Linked DNA regions of Kluyveromyces lactis. The protein of the gene in region 2 purifies or fractionates together with the protein of the main gene of each other region. This does not show direct contact. Links are inferred from orthologs where the notes say so. Each region holds a gene or a part of one and is shown on either strand. Other genes may lie near its edges. The genes, in order: RFM1 and SUM1.

Region 1 (8,325 bases), about 670 kb from region 2:
CTTTTTCTGATTCGTTCTCAGAAGATGATAACCCTCAAAATAATGCCAATGCGCACCAAACAGAAGAGAATTCTGAATATCAGTCAGTATTTGCTTCAGACCCTTTCCACTTAGATTACAATGAAGACACTGATAAAACAGATTTTCTTCATGATTTATTATTAAATACTTTGGATGATCCTGCATCCGACGTAACACAAAACCCAACGTGTTCCCAGCAAGTTGAACACCCCTTTGATCATGAACTAAACGCCGAAAATATGAAAGGGACAGTTGAGGAAGCATCAGAAGATTTTCAAACCTACAATGTGAGTTCTGAAAGTCCTTCAGATGACATTTTTCATGATGCCCTTGACATTAAGCATAGCTTTCCTATTTCTAGTGATTTCTTCGCGTCTAAGAATGTCCAAGTCTCTCCGGAAAAGAAAGCTGGACATAGTAGTATGACTATCGATCATTCAATAAATGAAAATAAACCAAATATTCCGTTGTTCATCGATAAGGAAACGATTCGCTTAACTACTAGTCCCGTACGAGTTAACCAATCTGAGAAAGTTTCAGGCGATGCTTCTATCAAAAATAGTAGAAGAAGAAAACTGGAAAACAATTTGAACTCCACACTCTTCCAAAAGCCTTCTCAGCATCATAACATTCCGTTATTCAACCTGAACTCTAGTCAGACAACAACTAATAACCTGCCGAACAATTCAGACGGTACCGACTCTCACGAGAAAGCTGGATCAACGTCTCACGTAACTTATCCTAAACCATTGGAGCCCTCAAAGGCAATTTCAGATCATGATTTGTCAAATTCTAGCCGTGAACATGAGTCGGAACTACTGGCATCCGAAGCGCTTCCTGATGATAAACCTGTAATAAGAATTCCACTCCTTGTTCACCGCACGGAGGTACATGAAGCTGCATCTCCCTTCGAAGATACTGCACAAGCCAAGAGATCTACTGAATTGAGTGAGTACGTAGAATCCTTAATGGAGGATCCGACGCAAGAGGAATTAGCCGAGCCTATTGTAATGGAACCAGCTGACATGCGGGTACGCGTTCGCACCACAAGTTACATCGAAATAGAAGAAATAATAACCGAAGATATTAATAATAGTGAAATTGAAAAGATTACTACTGAACCTGAAGTTTCGTTCAGAGAATCGCCTGAACCAGTGCATCGAACTGTGGAGCTGGAAGAGTTAGCAGTTGAGCAAAAAATTAACGCTGAAACTCAAAAAATCCTCCACTTTACTGATGAAGAAAGCCTTGATCTGCAAGCAGATGAGTTATCCATTGAAGTTAATGAAAATGAATCGAAAAATGAACTGCAACAATCAAACATTCAGCTATCAATTTCCAATACAGACATTACGTTAAATATTCCTCACAATTCTGCTACTGCGTCAGATCAGATACCATACCACCCATCTGTGACTTCAGTGCCTGATATATCTGAAACTGGGCAAATGGGGTATCCGAATAACGAAAATGACCTTTTGAACTCTGGGTACCAAGGAAGCCCTTCTGTAATATCTTCGTCATCGAAGGAAAATGCATACGAACTTCATGCAGATTTTAATTCGGATGAGCCTTCCCTCGCTGTCAGCGGTGATGTAGTTGTAGCAACAAACCATGATCTCTCTGATGGGAAAGTAAACAAACCTTCATCAAGCTTGTTATACCAAAGTGAAATTTCATCCACTCAAGATTCACTGAAATCACCTTCGCCAGAACCAACACTAGGTAAAAGGATATTAGCTTCACCTTTGAAAATGCTTAATAAATTGGCAGAAGGCGTGAGGTCTATTGGAGATGCAGCGACAGAATTTGCAAGTTTAGTGGATCCGATTTTAACAGAATCAGATTCGGACTCAGCTAATTCGAATCATTCTGAGAATAACAGCGCGCCTTCTGAACCTGAACACAATCAGGACCATGAAGAAAACAAATCTGAAAATCACTCTGGGGAAGAGTCTTATGTTTCGGAGGAAGTTCACTCAGTTAAAGAATCAAATGAATTGCATGATGCCGAAGCACTACAAACACTAGAAATGATTAATAAAACAACGGACAAAATTAAACATTATGGAGGCATGGATCTACCCAAGGACACTCCGGATGAAGACGTTGATACAACTCCGACCTCAGTTATCATCGATGATACCACTGAACTTCACTTGGCTCCAAGCGACGCAAATCCTATTACGTCTCCTGGTCAAAAACTAGAAACATCTACCCGAGCAGGCTCGATTCCAATTGAAATCGAAAATGAAGAGTCAGACGCAGCTGATATTCCAGTCACTATTGAAAAAGCAGAAACACCTCAGCAGAGAACACCGGTGAAAAAAAGACCACGCGCCACAGAGAACAGCAGTCCAAAACCTTCAAAGCGTAAAAGAAGCAAGAAAAGAAAACAAGCTCGCAAAATCACTTCAGTTGCTCGAAACTTGAGATCTAAATCGAAAAAGCGATGATTGTGACAATATAACTATAACCATCACGCCTCAAAAGGCAATCTTTATGATGATATTATATAGTGCTATATTGGTATAATGTTATGTTTTCCGGGTAATAAAATTCATCACTTCAACTCACTTGGTTAAATCGTATGCAATGGTGGCCAGCGATAGAGAAGCTAACACTCACACACTGAAAGAGAAAGCATCCCAAGGATTGTAAAAACCAATTGCAAAAGCTTATATGAGATATTGAAGGCATGCGATCTTTTAGTGCTCCAGGTAAAGCCCTTCTAGCAGGCGGTTATTTAGTTTTGAAACCAGAATATGGATCTTATGTCGTGGCGCTATCGTCAAGAATGCATGCTGTTGTCAAGCAAGACGAATTAATTGGTCCATCATCGTCATCATCAATAACTGTTAAAGTCAGAAGTACTCAGTTTAATGACGACGAGTGGCAGTATAAGATGGATTCAAGCTCCAATTACAGCCCACAAGAATTGCAAGAAAACAAGAATCCCTTCATCGAAAAGGTTTTATCAACAGTCTTCAACTACTTTCAACCCGATTTAAAACTACAAGGAAACATAGTGATCGATATTTACTCGGATGCTGGCTATCATTCCCAGGCGGGAACAAAACTGAGAAGTAACGGTGTGAAATCTTTCCTTTTTCATAGTAAATCTATCACTGAAGTCCCCAAAACTGGGTTGGGGTCTTCAGCGGGATTGGTTACTGTTTTAGTCACGGCATTGGTTTCCTGCTTCAAACAAAATCTTGATGTTTCATCAAAGGATGATATGAGATTAATTCACAATTTGTCTCAAGTGGCACATTGTCAGGCACAAGGTAAAATAGGTAGTGGCTTTGATGTTGCTGCAGCAGTGTACGGAACCATCACTTACAACAGATTTGATCCCGTACTCATCGAGCAATTACCATCACCATTATCGTCAGCATACCATTTCGCTTTAGTTTCTTTGATTGATGAAACCGATTGGAAAATAAAGGCCTCTAGAGTGTCTCTCCCTCCAAGATTGAGGCTAATAATGGGTGATGTTAATAATGGATCGGAGACAACAAAACTCGTAGCAAAAGTCAATGAATGGTATAATGGTAACGGTCAAGCCGCTTTTAAAATTTATAAGGCCATAGACCAAGCGAACACAGAATTTGTCGAATCCTTGCGTGAACTTACTGCCCTATGTGACCAAAGCACTTCGGAATATGAAGCCTTGATTGAAACCATTAATGATAAAGGAAGAAAGACACACCCACTACTGCAGAAAATAGTTCATTCCGTTCATACCATTAGAGAACACTTCAGACTCATTACGGAACAATCAGGTGCCGATATTGAACCTGAAGTCCAAACACATCTTTTAAATGCTGCAATCAGTTTGCCGGGAGTGTTAACCGGAGTTGTACCAGGTGCTGGAGGATATGATGCTATTTGTTTGATTACAACAGACAGTTGCAATATAGCGAATGAAACAAAGAATGATCCTACCTTCAGAAACGTTACATGGTTAGATTTAAATCAGCAAGATTTGGGAATCATTGAGGAAAAACCTAGTACTTACCAAAATTTGAACTAACCTAAACTATTTAATAAAGTACTTAAAATTACAAGCATTTATAATTGTAAGCTAAATTTAAAATGAAAAATTTCTACATGCCTGTTCTTACTCCGGCAAGGCCACCATCGAACCTTGAAAGTATCTTCTTGATGCGAAGATTCCTGGCAAGTTCATTAATTTTTATCTGCTCAGGTTCGTGTTTAACAGGTTGGTTCTTCTCAGGTATATATCTCTGTTTCGGTGGTAAAAGCCAATCTGACCTCCTTGCCGGCTCTTGGACTTTGGTAATCAAATTCTCATATAAGTGTTGAATTACAGCAGATGAAGAATCAGGTAGAGATTCCGTGGCATTGTCGATCACCCCTTCTTTACCTTCCTGCTTCTTCCTATTCAATTGCTTCTCCCTTTCTTTCCTTGTCAACCGACTTGATCTTCTAATAGGTCCTGATTTGTTTTCCTCTATTATTGAAGCTGTTGTGATGTCCCTGTTAATTTTCCAAGGATTACTTGGTTTATAATCAGTATCACTTTCCTTCGCAGCCAGGCCAGGATCTGAGTCCGATGCGGCATGATCTCCTTCTATGGAGCTATCACTTGATGACTTGGATTCATTACGTGAGCTCGATGTATTTGTGCGTTGAGAAGACCTTTTCAACCTTCGATACGGCCCACCACTACCTCTACTACGTAATCCATCCACATTAACTTTTCCACTCGCTGATTTGCCTACTTTGAATGTTTTAATGAGGTAATATTCAGCGTATGATTCGAACTCTCTTGGCTTGATCTCCCTTTCGAGTTGTTTTAATACATCATAAACTTTCTGTCTTCTCTCTTTGATCTGGTTGATGTGCTTCCCAAAGCCGACCACCGGAGTTGACTTCGCATCTTTCCAATAGACAATTTCATTCGAAGCCTGTCCTTGATCTACAGTGTATGTACCATTAATCGGATCTACCACTGGTTCAGTGTAAGGACCGTCTTTATCCACTGAATCATCTCTGCCGTTTCCAATAGTGTTTGGTGTGAAAGGTGAAAGAACGATTGGAGAGCTTACCATCGTCCTTTCTAATATTTCTTTCGATCTTTCGGTCACAGATTCTTTACGGAAACAACTCACTAAATTGCTCTACTTTATACAGTTTTAATACTCCTTGCAAGTATATAATTCATCATTTCACTCTTCTCATTATGAATGTTTCAAAGTACTGTGTAACGTCAATTTTTTTTTTTATTTGATTGTCACTGGATGCGTTTGAAAAGAAGCACTGAACGCCCTATAACTGTGATTCAGGAGGAAGCCAAATTGAGAACATACATCCAACTGTGACCGAGGTAGTCATATTCCGATCAATATTTGCAAATAATATTTTAGGTTGAATGTGTTGTTGTAAAAGGGATTGTTTTAAAACTACTAGGTTATCTATCTCATAAACTCAGACTAGAAGTAACAAATATAAAGAAAAGTTCTATGTAGAATTGTAGGTAGCAACAGGTGACTTGAGGGCATCATCTATCAGTGTAGCTCTCCTTTTTGACTGTGTTCTAATGTAACCCAAAAGTGCCACCGAAATTACAACTGTCGTGGCCAATAAACCAACGTTCACTGGGGTAGGATTCATATCGAAGGTAGTATGTGTCAGTTTGTCCAAATAGGTTTGGAAGAAATTCAGACACCCTGACACACAAATCATTGAGCCATAGACAACTCCGAAGGTTTCAAATCCAAATATTTTAGAACAGTAGTCTGAAACAACGGTATAATAGAAGGGCCTGAATGCAACTAGCAGTAATATGCCTAGCAAATTCGGATAAAATGATGGTATTAACCCCATAATGCCAATAAATACAGAAAGTCCACACACAAGCAAAAGGACAGAGTATGTCTCTAGATTATCTAGAATTATCCCGATTATAGGAATGGATAATATACCAAGTAATGGTAGAGCTACGTCAAATATCGAGTTCATTAATGCAGCGAGTTTAGAATCACGGAGTAAATACTCTTCTTGTGATCTGACAGTTGCAACGAAATAATTTATTCTCAACATGGTGACAATCGTGAAAAGGAGCATTAAAATAAACCAATAGGATTTGATCTGCTCTAAAGCGGATTTCTCATGCAAGACACCGAAAATCCCTCTGGTTCTTTTTTCTAGTCTGGCTTCGACGTAGTTCTCCAACACAGACTTCCTTCTCGATCCATGAGAAAGAACTGGCTGAATCTGTGGACCTGTTCCGGATAACAAGGATGAACATTCATCTGCATCAGGTATCACCATGGACGCATCTTGGCCCTCTGGAAGATTACCATCTTCATCAAGTCCTTCAACTTCCAATTTGTGAACAGCACCTAGAGTTTTATATGACTCGAATGGCATGATAAACAGTTGGCACAGTACAATAAATACTGGAACTACCAAATATAGTGTAAAGAATTTTTTCAAGTTGAAATCAGGATCTACCTTCTCATAGTAGATTCGGTAGAATAAGAACAAAGCGGACGAAGAATCGAAAGCACCAGTAATAACAGCAAGAATAGAACCAGAGTATTTGGGAAAGGTATTAGCCAATTGGAATGAGGATATGAACACAAACGGTCCACCAATTGCGAGAGAAATGTAGCCTGTTAAATATGGATCCAGGAAAGAGATATGTTTTGCCGAAATATAGATGAAAGAACCTGAAAATAGGAAGAGAGCTCCCACAATACCACATATTCTTGGACCGTAATTATCCAAAACCCAACCTACAGGCAAGGCAGCAATGTTGGTAACTACAGCACCAACAGCAAACATTTTATTCAATCTCAAATCTTGTTTTGTACATGGAAGTTCAACGACAGGGTCCTCTGCAACGTTGATGTAACACAAGTCTTCGTACACATGCTGAGCGATAAGAACTGGCTTTAGAGCAGCAAATCCAAATATCAACCCTGCAGATAGTAAACACCATGTTACTGCACAAAGCAGTTGTATGATACGAATATCAAAACATCCAATGAGACTACTTCTCATGATTTATGACAGAAAGTATTTAGATTAGGTTTTGGTCTTTCTTAATCTATCTGCCTGTTTCGAAAGAAGCAATAAGAGTAAAGAATTGGTAGACTTTGAGGACGTGGATCAGGTTCTAACTCAAAATAATTGGTTTTCTACAATCATAATTGAAGACTCCTTTTTATATTTACTACATGCCAAGGTAGAAAAACATCTCTTCTGGCACTAGTTTTATATTGATAACCAGAATGAGACCCAAATATGTATTTTTCTAAAAAAATTTATGTTGATATCATCTGCCATTCAAGGGTTTTTCAGTTGATAAAGGGAAATGATAAGAGAAATGTAATTCTCATTACGGGAGAATACGAAAAGTTAGGTAATATTCCTTCTTCAAATATTAGGAGCTAGCTCTAGTTACTAGAACATTTTCTTTATCTTCTTATTTAACAAAATATGTAGTGAAGAATATACAAGGCAAAGAATTGGGCCTAGATCTTACCGAAAGAGTCAATCATATCTAATAAATCATCGTCCAATTGTGGATCGGAGTTGTTAACGGTGTTTTTCATAGCAGATTCTTCAGAACCCGAAAGTTCCCTTAAATTTTCATCTGCTTGTGCATGCAGCCAACTCAAAATCATATTGATAAACGGTTTAGTATTAGGAATGTAGTGACCACCGGAATGCTTTACCATAGTGCGTGTTGAAGGATCACACGCTTCGAACAACTTCATTGACCTTTCTTCAGTAACGAGGGAATCTAGTTCCCCCACAATATGTAGAGTTTTTAATTGGATTGGATGTGTCTCGTACGGAGCTTGGAACTGTTCTGGTTCGAATTTGAAACCGGAGAAGTACATAGCGAATTTGAAAGGCGGTTGTTCCTCCTTGTTTAGCGGCAGAATGGACCATAAATCAGTGGATAGATACCCTGCTAGTCCAGCACCTTGACTGAATCCACCAATTCCATCAAAGGGACCGTTTTCTTTAATATATTGTGCCAGATATTCTAACAGTTCTGGTTCTAGCGTGTAGCTATGAGTTTCTGGATCCTTCAAGAACCAGCCATACATGCCAGTAGATTTCTCTGAATCTCTCAAGTCCACTTCTGAATCATTGAAGTCTTTGGAATGAAGCTTGTAAGGTCCACAGGGGTAGATGAGTTCATATCCCTTTTTCTGTAGCTGTTTCCTCATCCCTGCTGTCTTAGCTCTGAATATGACATCGGATTGGGAGTATCCATGTAACATCAACACTTTCTTGGAGGTGCTCATTTTGCAAATT
Region 2 (9,679 bases):
CAATGATGACGGAGGATGACATATATCAACTCATTGTTAAGAATCTTGCAACCTATGATTCTCTATTAGAGCAGTTGCAAGCTAGTTTTGAAGAAGGTTACCATCAGTTGAGCAGAGCGAATTATCACAATAAGAACACACTTCGAGGATCATATGGTAAGGATTACTGGGACGAAACTTATACAGGAAACAGGTATATCTCCATTAATGACAAGCACTCTGTTTCGGAGACTGAAGAGCCGTTGCATATTGCCAATGACGAAGAAATCATTCCTGAGAAAGATGAAGCAACCAATGAGAATTTAAAGAAGAGAAAACAAAGAGAAAAACTATTGGCAAAGGTGAAGAAGGATCCTATATATATGTTCGGAGGTGCCCTTTCAATCCCAAGCTCTTTGAAACAATGTCAATTATCTTTCAAAGCTTCGATGCCGGTACTTTATCAACTACTAGAACTTCGACGTACTCTTAATGGTCTACTTGACGCACTAGGGACTCTGTCAAATTCAGCTTAAGAACTTTATAATTGCTATGGGAATGATCTTATATCAGAGTTAATACAAAAGAAAACTATCTGTACAATTGCTAATTTGGAAAGAACAGTTTACTGGAAACGAAAATAACGTTGGATGGCGCCAATTGAAAGACGTACAATGAGTGTATATCTGTACACATGCAGATTGGGGATTAATTATTAATAAATGAACGACGAAGGGTTAATCTGTATCAAAAAGAGAGCTGATTTCAGTAAATGCAATAACGAGTGAAAGATGGGTATATTTTCTTGAGAACAATTGTGAAAGTGAATGGAATGGCCCTGGCCACGGGTGAAGATCATAGAATAGATTTATAGTAAATGTTTGAATTTCTAGCGTAGGAAAACTCACTAGAGCTTTCATCCAATGACGATCCAGCATCACTAGGCTGTAGATAGCATAATAAAACATCATCAACTGACCTTCTGGTTCTTGGAGAGTCTAAGTATTCTGATGGCCTTAAAATTGGTGTCAGAATTGGATCAGAGTTTCTTTTCAATGAGTGCTTTGGTGTAATTGATTTTTTTGGTACTGATTTCAAGTCATCCAAAAGCATAGTCTCTAAAAGATCCGCAGAATTTACTGGTGTTTCCCATTGGAATTTGTCTATTTTCTTGTCTCCCGTTTCAGGTGTTGATACCTGGAGGATTGATTGTTCTTCTAGCAAAGTTGGGAACTGATAGTTTTTTAGGAAATCGACATCTACTTCACTGGCATCTGATTGAGAATATTTATGCTTCAAATGTGTCTTCTCTAGGGTAGTTAATTTTGAAATGGAACGCATATGCGAATCGTTTAGCAAGGAGGTAGCCATTGTTGAAGTTGATGTCACTCTTTGGTTCGAGTACGTACTGGATCCAACCGAAGAACGTTTTGTAGATGACCCTCTAGAAACCAGATGGTGTTTAGCATATGGAATTGCATCTGTTACGAAAGCTTTAGTCATTTGCGTTGGGGAATTGATTGTTGAGTTTGTCGGAAATTTGGTATTTTCCGGTATATCCTGTAAGTGACTGTTAGATGGTGGTGGTGAATCTGCAGTAGGCATTTCAAATCCTGCCTTAGAATCTGCATGTGAGATGTGATTAAATCCAAATGGGACAGAAATTTTTAACTTAGGAGGTTCTTCTTTACTTGATTTATTTTGAAACAGTTTTAAGAGGCTGTTCTTCTTCTTCTTGAAAGATTTCTTTCCAGATTGTTTATCATACGCATTTGGCGGCAATGGAGGAAGATTAATGTTTTTCCTATTACTTAAGACAGGTTTATCACTATTGATCATTACAACGCCCAATTCATCATCATCGTCAGAATCCAGAAGCTGGTGAGCTTGTAAACCATATAATTTTTCTGTTTCATCGTCTTCATCGAGCCAGATCGACTTGATCTGAGGTACGTTCATCATAAGTATTGGCCCAGATCTGTTGGTTGTTTTATTCGGCAATGCCTGGTTTCTGATGATTCAAATCATGGCCTTTGTACCCTGGATCATGTTTATCCGTTTATATATACATATATCGGCCGCGTCCACAGTGGTAATGTTTCATGCATTCCTAGGTTTCACAATTTTCTGACATTTTTCGCATCTATGGTTAACTACTACTGGATTCAGTTAATTTAGGAATTCCTATATTAGGTAAAAACACGATTTTTCATTTTCGCACCCTCTTCAGGAATGCAGATACGTTTCGTTGATCGAAAATTAATGTTTTCTAACCTCTCTAATTCACCATCGCCAATCCGGTTTTTTCTTTTTTCTTGGGTTTCATGTCTTCTTTTTTTCTTTTGGCGGCCGTTATTTTTTCTCAAGTTTCTACGGCTTTTTTTCGTGGGTTAGATAAGTCATTAGTTGACCCAACATGGTTACCAATTACGACTATTTCACATTTTTACTCCATAGACTTTCTAGACTCTTAGAACTGGCGGTTCTAGGTTCCTCGGACTCTTTGGAAAAGCTTGGTTGGGGTGTGTATTCATCGGAAATGCTCAAACTATTGAAAGAAATTTCAATGAACTCAGAAAAGTCTTTCACTATCGCATTATTCTCGGAGTCATCTGCTGAAATCGATGTCGGGGTGAGATTTACGCTCAATTTTCGTCTGTTGGTTGAATCCATTCTCGGTATCACTGGCCTAGTACCTGCTCTATAATCTCTCTCCATTGCAAAATTCATATATTTGATTTTATCCAATTCTTGGTTCGATAACGGTTCTGTAACAAAAGCCCTAGAGCGCTTGGAAAGGAATGTACTATTATTCGTTCTTGCAATATCAGGTGTCGTTGGACGACCAGCCAATAAGTTTTTAATGTCATCGCATTCGCTCAAGGACTTCTCTATACGTTGTTCCCAATTTTCTTTCCGTTTATCCTTCAAACTGCTTCTTTTAAGAATGGAAGAGCGTCTCCATTTTCGTAAGTAACTCTTCACCTCGCCCATTTTAACTTTGTGTGGCACTTGTTTTCCCAAGTTACTGCCTTACGTACTGTCTGTGTTTTTTATATAATAGACCGTTTCTATGTAAGGCGGTTTATGATTCGAAGAAGAAAATCGTAAAGTCTCCAAGCTGGATACTTTTATACTCTTTTCAATAGCCGCTGAGCTTTTGATCGGATTTACACCATGTATGTGTTGCGGGTAACAGTAACCTGCTCTTTTTACAGATATTAGAATGAAAAATAACTTTGGGTTTAGAACTTGATAGTAAGTTTGACTTTGGAAACTAAACGTAAAATTGGACATGTTAAAGATGAACTCAAAGTGGATTGAAATCACCGATATCATTACTCTTACCCATAATTTCCTAAATTTACCTTGTATCCATCTTTTGCTTAATGCTTATTGTACTATTTTCCTTATATAAATATAAAATCTATTATATATCGTATTATCGGTACTATTGAATGCTTCGAGAGATTCAACAGTAGAAGTGCAGTATGAAAATTAAGTTCATGGTAATTCAGCTTTTTGTTCTTTTCGAGTCATCACTTTCCAGTGTATCTGGGTTTTTCCTTTTGACTATTTTGAACGATGAATTCTGTGTAAAATCTTCATTGACTACATCTTCGTTACCAATACAAATGACTTGCTTATAGCTCTTATTTCTTAATCTACCATTTAGAAGTACCAAACTAGCAAGCTCGCCCATGGATTTACGAGATTTGTCATTCGGAAGCCCAATAAAGTTCAAAATGCTTGTAACTCCAATGACATTACGACATTCTAGTGGGCTGGTTGCTCCACTACTGACCACGATTCCTCTGTTCCTGCAAGTTCTGATCACACTCTTCACGTTAGATACGAACTGCCTACGTGTTCTGATATCTCGAAGAGCGTTAGCATAAACAATTTCTACTTTGACTCCTCTCTTAATGCAACCCCCCATCATGTGATGTTTCAAAAGTGTAGGAAGCCTTTTGTCGTAGTAAAATGATAGCACATCAACATCCAAGCTAGACGTTACGAGAGTAACAGCCTTTTCACTGACTGGAAGGGCTGCCACAATATCGAAAGCTTGCGATATCTTTGTCAACGGCTGGCCTTTTGAAAGGTCATCTATAATAATTGTGATTCTTGTATATAGCTTTAATCCCGTAGATTTCACTAGTTCATCAAAATGCGATAGATCGATAGGATTCATATCATTGATTGATTTTGGGAATTTATCCTGTTGGTTTACTGTGAAATTTAAAGCTATGTGAGTGTACCCTAGTGTATGCAATGTCGCTAGAGTCTTGTGCAGCGTTTTAATCTCCTTCGTGGAAGGCGGTGTTGCAAAATCCTTCTGTGGCCAAGGAACGTTTAAATCAACTAACATCCTTTCAAATAGCTATTTTGCTTTGCAAATTTGGAAGGAGTATTTACAAGTGATTCAACAGAAACTTTTGTTTCCATTTGAGTGTCCAGCATACCTCATCTCATGCTCATGTTTCATTATTTACTAGATTTTTTTTTTGGTAGATTATTGTAATGTCTTTTCCGAAAAAATTATACTTGAAGATATTATAACATACTATGAAGTACAATCCTTACTTGAAAGCCCAACTGTTGAAAAATACAACTTTAAACTTCATCCAATCGGCCATGTCACAATGTTTTTGAGTATGAGAACAATATTATCTAAATAGAATAATTGTCAGTTTATTTATAGAGTACATACCTTACTATTTGTTCCATAAAGTGATAAAATGTCCGTTAAAATAGGTTTGATGAAAAACAGCGCCCAAAAAGGAACCATTATGATCTATGTGCATAAATATCATTGCGTAGAGTTCACATCTTCTGAATCTTTCGGTAAAGAAGGTAAGTGCTGATCTTGATTTACAGCTACCGCCCCAGTAGCATGGTTTGTATTTTCTTCAGTTCTATTTCCAGCCAGTTCCGGAACTGGGGTTTCTGACTGTTGTTGGACATGCTCAGTGTGTAATTCCTTTGTTCCCTTGTCTGCGGGAACATCATTCGTAACATAAGGCTGTTCTAGAGGGCCTTCACTGTTTTCTTTGTATGGAATAGAACTTGATTTCTTGTTTGAATTTTTGCTACCATCTTCTAGGAAATCAAGAACCAAAATATTATCGATTTCTCTATTAATATTCATGACATCGACGCCATTTTTACCAACAAGCGGTAGTTCAGTGCCTCTGGCGAACATCCATTCTCTCCAATGAGTATTCGTATTATCACATAAATCAAAAAGAATCATTTTTAAAAGGGTAATGTGGTTGTAAAACCATGAAACCGACCTATTGATGAAGACTCTGTAATTTTCCATTTCTTTGATTGCATGCAACAATGTATAATTGTGGAAACCTCTCTTATCTTTCGACTTGTCTCTCCAAAACTCAAATAATGCAAATAAGGCTTTCCGTCTTTGCCAAGTTCTCTTAGATTCTCTTAGCTTTAGACCTAAACTTACCAATCTATTCTCCCAACGGAATTCCATCAGGAAATATTCTAATGAATTGACGTATCTCTCGGTTAATATGACATTGGACAAAACTTGACAAGCCATTGAGGTTTCAATCTCAACGTCTGGTTTAAGGAAATACGCGTTGATTCTATCCTGTCTTGTTAACTCGGCGTAATCTTCTTCATGCATTGTTAATTTAATCAATTCGTCTTCTTTGTGTCTGAACTTCAAATCCAAATACTCTCCCGCTGTGATTGGAATTGTAGAACCTTTTCTATAAAAAAAACCTTCACGGCAGTAAAGTTCCACAGGGGATGACATTAACAAAGACGCTGCATTTTCTTGGGATTGATTGTTAGAGCTTGGTCTTCCCCTTTTATCTTTCTTTTCTGGTAACATCGGAATCATCCTGCTCATCTTTCGACGATCATGCAATGTTAGATGCCTTTTCTTATTTGGTGATTCACCACCAGATTGTAAAGTGGTGACGGAAAAGTTATCCTGCGAGTTTTCTGTCGAATCAACAGATAATTGAGAACTTGGTAATGCGTCTGCAGATCCTTGAGGAGTCGAATTTGGCATGTCTAACAGATGAGGTCTAGCCGAGCCATTCTCTTCTGTTTTTACACCAGTAGATGCATCATCATTCAAGATAGACAAGATTCTGACCTTACGTGGTCCCTCTGCTTCGTTGGACATTTGAGATCGATCACCGATGTCCGAAGATGTTCTTTTCACAGAGCCGTTCAGATCCTTGTGCTCAGAATTCAGTAACGACGATTTTTGACCGTTAACATCATCCGCACTTGCCGTAGAAACTGAGCCTACATTGCCTGGTTGTTCCAAATTGTTATATGCTGATATAATTGTTTGTGGTGTCACAGAGCGAGCAGAGTCTGGAGGATTAGACGAAGGTGATTGAGCACCAGAAGAATTCTCCGCTGTTTGCGACAGGGAGAAAGGTACTTTTGATAACTCTTCCAAATGTTTACTTGAAAGTTGATATTTACCCAACGGTACTGGAACGCTGAAAGGCACCGCTGTCATTCTTTTCTTCCGTTCTTCTTGTTTCATGGCCATGAAAAGATCTTTGTTGAGTTCCATGAAATTCCTGGTAACGTTACGATCGCTATATTTCATGGTGACTAGCATCCTTTCTCTTTCATCTCTTTTCATTTCGAGCTCCTTCTGTTTTCTGGAACGAGAGTCATGCATATCATTAGCCAACTGTTTCTGATCGTCTGTGACATCGCCCTCATCATCTTGCCCTTCATTATCAGACATACCGGAAAACGATGATGAAAGATCCGATTGTTCATCATATTGGCGCGAACCACTTTTCAATCTTTGAGATTTGCGTCTAGAGCTAGAGCTTTGCCTTTCCTTGGTATCATTATCTGCAGCATTTGTCTTTCTTTGTGAAGAAGTGAGTTGAGCTTCCCATGTGCTTTTCTTTGAAGGTCTACCTCTACGTTTCTTTGGTTCCTGAGGAGTCTCTTGCTTGACGTTAGCAGAACTACGAGATCGACTGTTGCCAACCCCATCTGCATCATAACCTGAGTTGGACTCCGTCTTTTCTTTACTTGGGTCCAGGAAAAGACGTTTTGATTTTGATATATGATCGCTTGGGAATGGCAATTTCGCCTTTTTATCGCCATTGGACAATATCGAAGTGTTCTTCTTAGGTGGTCTACCAGGTCCCCTATGAGGAGGAGAGACGCTTGCAGATGACATATATGCGGGTGATCCATACGCAGCAGTTCCCATCGTCCCTGACGATGCACCTGATGTCGCGGACATCGTTAACCTATCGGATAACAACCTGTTGATCTTGATGATCTCCACGGATAGATCGTTTATGGCCGCATCTGAATTCACCTGGTTCTTTAAAAGGTCCTCGAATTTCGTTTCCAAAACTTGCTGGTTATGCGATAAGTTCTTCAAAGTCACCACAACTGACTCAATACTCTTTTGAATTATTTCGTCAGTTTCAGGTAAAATAGACTCAATTTCAGAAACTTTTTTCTCAAGCTCTCGAATTGTACCTCGTTGACTTTCTAAACCCGCTTGCACACTAGAAATACCATTCTTGTCCTTTTTATCTACTACAGAACTATCCTTCTCTTGTCTGGAAACACCATTCTCACCAATTCCAATTTCACCATTATTATCGTCATGGCCTGTCATCGCAGTATCAGAATCCATACTGTCTCTGATTCAGCAAGCAGGTTTCGTCTGTTCTGACTCAAAACCTATAACAACAGATTCAATCCGATCTACACCCGTTAAATAGTCACTAGTACCCTGTAAAGCACCACTGTCGTTCTGTTTCTCGACAATAACGATGTTTAACTATTTATTGAATTTCAATTTCGCTTTTTTTTTTCTTTCACTTTTCCAATTTTCGTCGTTTTCACCTTAGTGCAAATGGAAAAAAACAATCAATAATAATCAAGTAGAAAAAAAACTCAGAAAATGCTGCCAAAAAAAAAAATTACTGTAAGGAAAAGATGGCGGAATACTGAATGTGTTAAAGTTGAATTTGATTTCTTTTGATGTGCGAGCAATGGTTATCAATATGATGAGCGGACTTTTGTATCGTTTACGAGATTCTCGAGATATGGATGATCTTTGCGGCAATTTTTGGATAATCTTAAATATATAAACATACATGTTCAGGTATATAAACCTAATATATTGCAAGTGAAAGTCGCAAAATAATGTCGTACCTTATTTTGCTGCTGTTAAAGTGGGTTTTTCAATTGAAATTTACACTCCAAATGGTAACTGTCCGGGGTAATAAATGTAAAAAAGAAAAAGAATTTATTGTCAAATAAAGATGTCAAAATACTGAGAGCGCAAGAAAGGGAAAGTGATCAGCTCATGAAGGTTTATTTTTACACTATATGATATATATGATACACATTTTCTTAATGTCTATATATTTCTCGACGTGTTCAATTTCAATCTCAATTTCACAAGTTGCTGTATGGTTTTGTTGACTTTAGCGTCAGATTCTGGTAGTGAGAATTTTTTGCACAACGTCACGATGTAGCCGTTAATAAAATCAATTTCTGTTTCTCTTAAATGTAGGACGTCCTGTCTCATTGAAGATGAGTTACTTCCATTCACTATACATCCCATATAAATGGTATTTTTCAGTGTTCTTTCTAAATTCAATCTGCCAGTGACGTCTAGTTCTGGTAGATTCCCACTTTCAGTATTTCTGAAGGTCTCTGGATAATCGAATAACGGTTTATATGCGATTTGGAATACATGAAGAGCCTCTTCGATGATCGAAGTGAAGATTGGTTCTGAACAATTGGCTAATTCTCCATTCATGCAGTCTATAATTGAAGTGACAGAGTTGATACAGCAATTGACTAGGAACTTCTCTAATTGTCCCAACAAAAGTTCCTGGTACGTCATATGGATGACAGCCAACGATTGGTCCAATGTTAGCAAAGCTTTAACCAGATCATTTTGCTTCCATTCATTCAATTGGTCTAACGTTTCTATAATATTTTCATCATTTTCGGGTAATTTCGAGACCTTGCAATCAACAAACCCTGCATGATTGTACTGATTCTTAATCTCTTTATCTTGGAAAATACCATGGCCAATGACACCTTGGAACAAATTTGATTGTAAGTCGCTTCCTGTGAAGACTTGTTCCTTCAACACTTCAGCGACACCGAGTCCGTTTTGAATCATGATGATGTTAGTGTCGTTGTGAAGGTACGGCAGAAACATTTTCAATGCCTCAGCCGTTTGATATGTCTTACAAGTGACGATCAAATTATCGATTTTGCCTTGGAAGATGCCGGGGCACGTCGCACTTTGAAATTGCTCTGTTAAGGGAGATAAACTCGCATCGAACAAAGGTTTGATTGTAATCTTGCAATCAAGTTTCTTGAATTCGTTGAGTCTGTCCAAAGATCTGAATATTGGAATAACTTTTCTACCTCCATACTTTTGCAGATGAACACCAAGTAAACTGCCAATGGCACCAAACCCTAAAATATAAATCGGCGACTGTCCTGTCATATTGATCCAGCGATAACTGATTCGAGCGACTGTCAATATTGGTTTAGCAGATATTTGCTTGAACTTTTATATCATTACAACACGTAATGAGTGAATCTGACTTTTTCTTTTCAAACAAATCTTTTTTTTAACTTCATTTTAACCTTAAATTACAGAAACGGCAAGCAGTGAAGGTAGCAAACATTTTTG

The links.
Region 1: the proteins of SUM1 (region 2) and RFM1 purify together in Saccharomyces cerevisiae (affinity purification with mass spectrometry; 3 studies listed by BioGRID, with this or other methods). This does not show direct contact. The link is inferred for Kluyveromyces lactis from reciprocal best matches to the Saccharomyces cerevisiae genes SUM1 and RFM1.

The regions. Positions count from the first base shown.
Region 1 is NC_006039.1:607,374-615,698, reverse strand, and holds RFM1 (Rfm1p), read right to left. Parts: upstream 5,100-8,325; coding exon 4,131-5,099; downstream 1-4,130. Other genes in the region: ESC1 (Esc1p), read left to right, coding at 1-2,477; ERG8 (phosphomevalonate kinase), read left to right, coding at 2,720-4,057; FMP42 (Fmp42p), read right to left, coding at 5,509-7,056; KLLA0_C07018g (alpha/beta hydrolase), read right to left, coding at 7,530-8,315. UniProt on the Saccharomyces cerevisiae protein: Tethering factor required for histone deacetylase HST1-mediated repression. Probably involved in targeting HST1 to a subset of SUM1-regulated genes.
Region 2 is NC_006039.1:1,282,120-1,291,798, reverse strand, and holds SUM1 (Sum1p), read right to left. Parts: upstream 7,649-9,679; coding exon 4,793-7,648; downstream 1-4,792. Other genes in the region: VMA22 (Vma22p), read left to right, coding at 3-515; GIC2 (Gic2p), read right to left, coding at 835-1,941; KLLA0_C14740g (uncharacterized protein), read right to left, coding at 2,413-2,973; RNA-binding RNA processing protein RPP1, read right to left, coding at 3,494-4,351; 2-dehydropantoate 2-reductase PAN5, read right to left, coding at 8,381-9,490. UniProt on the Saccharomyces cerevisiae protein: DNA-binding protein that specifically binds the regulatory region of middle sporulation genes (MSE). Required for the repression of middle sporulation genes during vegetative growth. Represses expression via the recruitment of histone deacetylase HST1.